Xenopus tropicalis: one gene and its partner. The protein of the gene in region 2 purifies or fractionates together with the protein of the main gene of each other region. This does not show direct contact. Links are inferred from orthologs where the notes say so. Each region holds a gene or a part of one and is shown on either strand. Other genes may lie near its edges. The genes, in order: gfpt1 and gars1.

Region 1 (4,282 bases), on a different chromosome or scaffold from region 2:
ACTATTACTCTAATAACATGGGGCTAGGCAGCCAAATCCAGAATTCAGGTGAATTGAAAACCCAAATAAATCCCTGGGAATGTGGTTGAATTCTGCATTCAGCATGACCTATGTGTCTGGAAACAAGACCGTAACGCTTGCCCAACAGAAAGCAAGCCCTTAAAGTCATGTGACTAGGCAATTGAAAGTGATATTTTTATTTTTTTCTGGGGGCCGGGGGTGTAGTTGTTGGTATTTTGCAATTAGGATTTAGATTCAATTCAGTATTCAGACATATCTTTTGTGAAAGATTTACAATGATGGGTTCAGAGCATCCTACAGGGGCCATGGTCCTCCCAAGGCAACAATACTCCCAGCACTCATACCCCATGACAGGGCTGCCATCAGGGGGCTACAGGGGGCAGTAAGAACTCCCTAAGGAAAATCATAATTTGCAGGGATTGTGGGCAGAGGGCAAAGCTTTGCATAACTGGGGAATGGCCTCGGCAGATCAAGGGAATGACCATGCATGCCAGGGTCCTTTTTTTTTTTTTAATTGGGGCCCCATTTTGTTTGTTGGCAAGGCAAACCACCTAGATGACCAGTAGGCCTAATAACTGGGGCCCCCTAAATAGACCTGGGCAATTAAGTAGCACGGGGCCCCAATAATGGAAACTGCGTGGGATGGCTCTCCAGAAAAGGAAAGAGAAGCTGATAACATGACACAATGGGACCCCTTAGCACTAAACATGTCTCAGCCTTAGTACATACTCTGGACACAGCAAGAGAATTGTAGGAACGTCCATATACAAAGCTACACCACGGGCCTAAAATCTTAATATCACAGTTTCAGAAGGCAAGCAAGCAATGCCTGTTCTACTAGACACCAATATCCAATTAACTACTCTAATCCTAGTCTTGTAGAACAAGTTAATCCATTGAATTTATCTTGATAAATACCTGAGGAGACATTCACAAGTGCTAATTATGCAAATAGCAGTGTTTATGTATGTAACTGAGGTGCTAATAGGCTCTACCGTCGGGCCGTCTGGGTATCACTGCCCTTGTATACAGCGCTGCACAATACGCTGCCACTAATGAAATGCAAATACAAGCACCCATTGATATTATAAAGTAAAGATGATTGGCATGACAATAGTAACTCTGCTTGTTACAGTCTGAGGACCTAATATTTCTTATCAGCTCTGACTCAGGCACAACTAAATTATATTAGCACGGCAATTTGCATTTTACTAGACTATTACAAGACATCTACAACACCACTAATTATATATATATATATATAATGTGAATAATAAAATTATTATGGCTCTTGTATATTATATATATCACCATAATTCATTAGCTATCTATGGTACATGATTACAGTAGATAAGCATATTAGGGGCCCCCAAATTGCAGAACATGATCACAGATCTACAACTGCACATCAGTCAGGACCCCCAACAGCTACGCCCCACCCATGCAGTCGTTGTGTCTACTGCCCCTATTGTAGCACCTTTGTCTCAGGTACAAACAAAACCTTGTTTTCATCACAGTGCCTCCGTCCCAAAGAAAAGCCAAAACTAGGGACATTTGAAAATAAATCAACCAACAGGAAAAACTCTAAAGGGAATTTTTTTTTACAAAGCAATTATATGACACCTCCCTCGGCTATGAAATATTGACAGCTCATAACAGGTAATGAGCGTTTATATAAAGTAAACACTATCACTTGGGCGTGGGGAGATTAACCAGAAACTACAATGGGGCTGCTAAACTACATTCTATGATGAGGAAGGTCTCGTTGCTACACTCTGTGTTTACGGAGGAAGAAAAGAAAGTATTGGATGACAATGCCCTGCCCTGTACCCTAATACTGTGCCAGTCTAGTGGGAAACATTACTCAGAGACTCTCTCATATACCCACCTAGATACAAACTCTAACAATGCTCTTTAGTATGAGAAATATAATATAATACAATATAATCCACTCTCCAGTATGATTGTGTCTCACTGTGGGAAGAACCCAGTGACCTCAGGGATAGATGGAAGTAGGACTAGGGGCAAATATGGAACCTAGAGCTGACAGTTAAAAGTGACAGAAGTGAAAAAGGCTTCAGGCCAGTATCGCTTAGTCGTCATTATCAGAGAAAGCCGGAGGTTCCATGATTAAAAGCTGAAGGGCCCCACATAGGGCAACTCTAGCTGAGGAAACCATTGCTGTCAGGCTGGAAATGCACCAAGGGATGCATGGGAAAGGGTAGCGGCACCATCAGTACAGTCCCATAACATATCCCTATTCCTTGTGTTGGGGCACATAATGCCCAGTGAGAAGAGGTGAGGCCCATAACCCAATGCGGGGGGGGGGGGGGGGGGGGGGGGGTACAATACCAATCACTATAATACAGTATGGTGCTGAGGCAATGGGAGAGAGCAGAGAGATGGCAGCTACAGGGGACAAACCCAAATACTGGCTTCTGCCTAAGAAGATCTGCAGGTGAATGGCTGGAGAATGGGGGGTACAGGCAAGAGAATGTCCGTCTCTAGGGACACCCTAATGCCACTAAGTGATAAGAGCTGGCAGTTAGGAAAGAAGCGCAGACACACGTAACGCCACTCTCTCAGGGTACGTAATGTCACTCAGGGGCACCACTAGGACTGGCACTGACTGGGGATGCCCTTACAGCTCCTCAGGTGACATGTCGCAAAGGATGTCAGTGCATGCGGGAAGTGGCACCAGAGGGGACAGTGAGCAGAAGGGCAACAACAATGCAGGGTAAGAGCCATACTCACCGCACATCCTGCCGTCTGTATGTTACTATCTGTGAATAGGGAGCGCTCTCTCTATGCCACACACTGCCCAAGCTGCCTCACCTACCCTACATAAGGACCATCACCGGCCCGTGACGTCACTCCGGCCGCCCTCATTCTTCCCATTGGTCAGCTCCTTAGCCGTCACCAGCTGCGAGCAGTTTCATTGGGCACTCCCCTTCTCCGACCGCGCCCCTTACGAGATCTTTATATTCTTAATGGCTGTAGAGGAGGGAGGCGGGGCGTGCTGCTGGCAGCAGTGACGTGGCCGGATCCACCAGGATAGCGGTGACTTCGCAGCGTGGGCGGGGCCTCCAAGCTCCTTAGCGTAAAGATACTGGCGGAGGGGGCGTTTCCTATCGTCATTAACCCTTTCGGATCAACAAGTCGTGCGCAGCAATGTATTGAAGAAAGGGGGAAGGATCTGAATCAAACTTTCTTTCTATGTACGTGTCTGTCAGTGTTTATATATATGCCTCAGTCTGTAACAGATTTATGTGCCTGTATGTGTCTTTTTGTCATCTGTCTGTTAGTCTATTTAGAAGGCATTTTTTTCTGTTTAAGCTCACAAGTTTAGAAACTCAGCAGTGATCTTGTTGCTAATTTACCCTAGCAACCAGGCAGTGGTATTAATAAGAGACTGGAATGTGAGCAGGAGAGGAATTGAGCAAGGAGATAAGTTGTAAAAATGATATTGCAGCCTCTCAGAAGCTCCTGAGGTCGGTGACCCCTTTGGAAAGATGGAAAAATAATGAAAGGCAGGGTGGGAAATGAGCAGAGATAGTCTGAATGAAAGATAAGAATTTGTTATAAAAGTAACATGGAATTGTTACAGCCAATCTATTTTTGGTTGCTCTGCCCACCAGGGCAATAAAAAACATATTTTATGTTACAGGCGAAAAACAGGTCATATAAGAACAGTAACTACTCAAAGACTTTACAGAGTAAATAATGACGAGAAGCTGATTGGATGGTAATGTGTGGCAATGAGCAGGGGTTGGGTAGAGGGGCATTGTGTGGCAATGAGCAGGGGTTGGGTAGAGGGGCATTGTGTGGCAATGAGCAGGGGTTGGGTAGAGGGGCATTGTGTGGCAATGAGCAGGGGTTGGGGTAGAGGGGCATTGTGTGTCAATGAGCAGGGGTTGGGGTAGAGGGGCATTGTGTGGCAATGAGCAGGGGTTGGGTAGAGGGGCATTGTGTGGCAATGAGCAGGGGTTGGGGTAGAGGGGTATTGTGTGGCAATGAGCAGGGGTTGGGGTAGAGGGGTATTGTGTGGCAATGAGCAGGGGTTGGGGTAGAGGGGTATTGTGTGGCAATGAGCAGGGGTTGGGGTAGAGGGGCATTGTGTGGCAATGAGCAGGGGTTGGGGTAGAGGGGCATTGTGTGGCAATGAGCAGGGGTTGGGGTAGAGGGGTATTGTGTGGCAATGAGCAGGGGTTGGGGTAGAGGGGTATTGTGTGGCAATGAGCAGGGGTTGGGGTAGAGGGGT
Region 2 (4,410 bases):
ATGTGAATAGAAAGAGTAAAAAGTAACTGTAACAATAAAACTAGAGCCTCACAGAGCAATAGCTACATAGGCTCTGGGATCTACCGCCTGGCACGCTCGGGGCACATAGGCTCTGGGATGTACCACCTGGCACGCTCGGGGCACATAGGCTCTGGGATGTACCATCTGGCACGCTCGGGGCACATAGGCTCTGGGATGTACCACCTGGCGCACTCGGGGCACATAGGCTCTGGGATCTACCGCCTGGCACGCTCGGGGCACATAGGCTCTGGGATGTACTATCTGGCACGCTCGGGGCACATAGGCTCTGGGATGTACCACCTGGCGCACTCGGGGCACATAGGCTCTGGGATCTACCACCTGGCACGCTCGGGGCACATAGGCTCTGTGATGTACCACCTGGCACGCTCGGGGCACATAGGCTCTGGGATGTACCACCTGTCGCGCTTGAGGCACATAGGCTCTGGGATCTACCACCTGGCACGCTCGGGGCACATAGGCTCTGGGATGTACCACCTGTCGCGCTCGAGGCACATAGGCTCTGGGATCTACCACCTGTCGCACTCGGGGCACATAGGCTCTGGGATCTACCACCTGGCACGCTCGGGGCACATAGGCTCTGGGATGTACCACCTGGCGCACTCGGGGCTCATAGGCTCTGGGATGTACCACCTGTCGCACTCGGGGCACATAGGCTCTGGGATCTACCACCTAGCACGCTCGTGGCACATAGGCTCTGGGATCTACCACCTAGCACGCTCGTGGCACATAGGCTCTCATAGGGCATTAGCCAATCAGAAACAAGATGGGACTATTAGGGGGATATTAAATTGATCACCATTCTCTAATTATGTGATACAAGCTTTCCCTAGGGCAGGAACCTATAACAGCCAATCAGCATGTAGAAAATGAACTGGTCACCTGTTTAAAAGCAAATCTCTTATTGGCTTGGGGAGAGCAGTGCCTGTTATTATTACTCACAGGGATAAGATCTTATTGTGTTTATTTCTTTGCAGGGAATTCTCCATTGAAACAGAAGGGAAAACGTTTTTGCTGACTAAGGACATGGTGTCTGTCAAGAAATTCCAGAAAACCATACACGGTAATTGGCCGGTTTTACACACATTTTCATTGCTCGGACTGGGAGAGTCGGCCATTGGGAATCATCTAGTGCCCCCCACTGTCCCTGCTGGTATTAAACTACACTTCCCAGCATCCCCTGATACCCCCTGAGTATATGAGATTGCTTGGCAGATACCCCTATAGGCTAAGGGTACATGGGGGGGGGGTTCTATTAGACGATAGGGGGGTCTTGTCCAGATTTATAAATATAAACGGGTGGGGCAAAAATGGTCGCTGTGTGAATCATTCTTTGCTGCATTTATTAATAATATCTCCCCCCCCCCCACAACCCCGTTTGCTGTATATAATATCCTCAAGTATTGGCCCCATATTATTTGTACATTGCCTTGTTGCCCCCCAAGTAAGACAGTGGGGGTCATTTGTAAACACTGGGCAAATGTGGCCCCTGAGCAGTAACCACGGCAACCAATCATTGATAGTTTGCTATGGGTCATTGCAAATGCGGTTATAAAGGCAAACATGTTGCATCCAAGGCTGTAATTGGCCCCCGTGTATTCTGTATTGTGTGCAGAGCTGCCCCCCTCCCCGGCCTGGTTGGTATGTCCCATTATGGCTGAATAGAATGGGTACTGGAGTCATTGTATTGCTGGGCTTATTGTACGGATATGTACGGGCTCTGCCTCCCACGCTTGGGAACCCAACAATGCGCCGCTCTGCGACTTTACCGGCGCGACACAATAGCGCAGACCTTGGCCGGATAATACAGCGACCAAGGCCGACGCTTCAATAAGCTTTTTACCTGTTGCCATGGGAACGGGTGGCACTGGAACCAGGGGACCTTGAGCTGCAATTAAGCGCAGTTACACGCGTCCCTTTATTTGGCCCGTTACCGGGGGGGGGGGGTCTGGCGGAATCGTCTCATTGCTAATCGTGTCGCAATTTTTATTTTTTTTCCAGTCGAGGAGATCGTGCCCAATGTCATAGAGCCGTCGTTTGGCCTGGGGAGGATCATGTACACCGTTTTCGAGCACACATTCCAAGTCCGACAGGGAGATGAGCAGAGAACGGTAATAAGCCCCCCCATAAGGTGCCAAAAAGTTAACTCATTACTCACCAGAAAAGAAGCTGCCATGTTGTGTGGCCCTTGTAGCTGCTGTACTCTGTGCCGGCCACTAGGTGGCCCTACTGTATCAGCACAACTGCACATACCGCTACTTGTAAATCTGTTGCTTCTGTTCCCACAGTTCTTCACCTTCCCGGCCATAGTGGCCCCGTACAAGTGTTCCGTGCTGCCGCTGAGCCAGAACCTGGAGTTCATGCCGTTTGTTAAAGAGCTGTGTAAGTAATGGCTGCCCCGTGGCACCGTTTATACGGGAAAAGCTGCCAATATGCCAATAAGCGGCTGCTGTTTGTGTGTTGTCAGCTGTTTCCTACTGAGCACAGGGCAAGTGTTTGTGCTCCTCTGTAGCAGGACTACAGTTCCCAGCATGCTCTTCTGCAGTTCTGCCCAAGGTGGTGCAATAGGTAGAGCGCCCTCTGTGGTCAGTCAGGGACTGAATGCTCTGACTGGCAATGTACCAGCAGGGGGGGATAATGAGCCCCATGGCTGCCCCCCAGAGATGTGCCACTGGCCTGGTGCAAGAGGATTAGGTGGATTCTGATTTAGCTGACAGTAATACCCCCCCCCCCCAAACACCCTTTATAGACTGCATTTGCCCTTAAGTATCCCTGGGGCCAGTGTTTCTGTAGCTAAATGCAGTGTTCTGGCCCCGCAGCCGACGCCTTGACCAAGAATGGCGTGTCCCACAAAGTGGACGATTCCTCCGGCTCCATCGGGAGGCGCTATGCGCGGACGGACGAGATCGGCGTGGCCTTTGGGATCACCATCGACTTCGATACAGTGAACCGGACCCCTCACACAGCCACTCTCCGGGACCGGGATTCCATGAGGCAGATCCGAGCTGCGGTAATACAGATATTTATTCATTTGTGCCACACATCAGCTGAACTGGGCAGAACGGGGTGTCTGGGCGTGGCTAATTTGGTGTCTGGGCGTGGCTAATTTTGTGCCTGGGCTAAATTGGTGTGGGGGGGGGGGGGGAGTCTAATTTGGTGCCTGGGCTAATTTGGTTTCTGGGCGGGTGTAATTTGGTGATGGGGCGGGGCTAATTTGGTGTCTGGGTGGGGCTAATGTGTAGTTAAAGGGTCACTGTAGCTTAATTGCATATTATGAAATATTGGGGCGAGTGTAGAATCGGGTTCCATGGTGCCCGTCCCATTGTGCAGGTTCACTCTTGCCTGAGCTGCCATTGTTCCTGCCGTCAGTCTCCCCTATTAATAACATTTGTGCCGTTGCCCATAGGTTTCTGAGCTGCCGGGGATCGTCAGGGACTTGGCCAATGGCTGCCTGACGTGGGCGGAAGTGGAGACCCAATACCCGGTATTCGAGGGACAGGAGACGAGCAAAAAGGACACCTCGGAGGAGTGACCGCCCCTTCCTGCTCTCGGGAACACAAACGCCACTTTTTACCATTGCTGTTAATATCAACTCCCCCCTTTTATCCGCATAAAAATAAAGGGAAAGTAACGGCATTATTTATTGCCGACAGGGACTCTCCTTAATTGTAACCACAACCCAATTCCATTACGGTATTAAATATGTTTGAAATATCAAATATTATTCTCTCGCGTTCATTCCTTGGGGCGGAACAGTCTGACCGAGGCACAGAAATGTCTGTAGAACTCTCCCAAATGACTGCCTCCAACTGGGGTAGACATAGCAATCAGCATAGCTGGGCGGAAGTTGGAGCCAAACTGACCCCTGCAGCTGAACTGCCTGACCCACATAAGTCCATTTAGCCATGTTGAAGCAGCAGTTGGACCCAAACTGACCCTTGCTGCTGAACTGCCTGACCCACATAAGTCCAATTAGCCGTGCTCAAGCGGCAGTTGGACCCAAACTGACCCCTGCAGCTGAACTGCCTGACTGCCATATGTCCATTTAGCCATGCTGAAGCAGCATTGGACCCAAACTGACCCCTGCAGCTGAACTGCCTGACCCACATAAGTCCATTTAGCCATGTTGAAGCAGCATTGGACCCAAACTGACCCCTGCAGCTGAACTGCCTGACCCACATAAATCCATTTAGCCATGTTGAAGCAGCATTGGACCCAAACTGACCCTTGCAGCTGAACTGCCTGACTGCCATATGTCCATTTAGCCATGCTAAATGGAAATTTTTCTTGAATCATTGAGTGGTACAAGAAAACTACTGAACAAATAATAAGCTTGATTGTATGGGGGGGGGGGGGGGGTATACAATCAAG

The links.
Region 1: the proteins of gars1 (region 2) and gfpt1 fractionate together in Homo sapiens (co-fractionation; 3 studies listed by BioGRID, with this or other methods). This does not show direct contact. The link is inferred for Xenopus tropicalis from reciprocal best matches to the Homo sapiens genes GARS1 and GFPT1.

The regions. Positions count from the first base shown.
Region 1 is NC_030679.2:122,592,552-122,596,833, reverse strand, and holds the start of gfpt1 (glutamine--fructose-6-phosphate aminotransferase [isomerizing] 1), read right to left. Parts: upstream 2,883-4,282; 5' UTR 2,783-2,882; coding exon 2,776-2,782; intron 1-2,775.
Region 2 is NC_030682.2:7,801,859-7,806,268, forward strand, and holds the end of gars1 (glycine--tRNA ligase), read left to right. Parts: intron 1-1,016; coding exon 1,017-1,102; intron 1,103-2,040; coding exon 2,041-2,150; intron 2,151-2,327; coding exon 2,328-2,421; intron 2,422-2,858; coding exon 2,859-3,049; intron 3,050-3,445; coding exon 3,446-3,571; 3' UTR 3,572-3,758; downstream 3,759-4,410. UniProt on the Homo sapiens protein: Catalyzes the ATP-dependent ligation of glycine to the 3'-end of its cognate tRNA, via the formation of an aminoacyl-adenylate intermediate (Gly-AMP).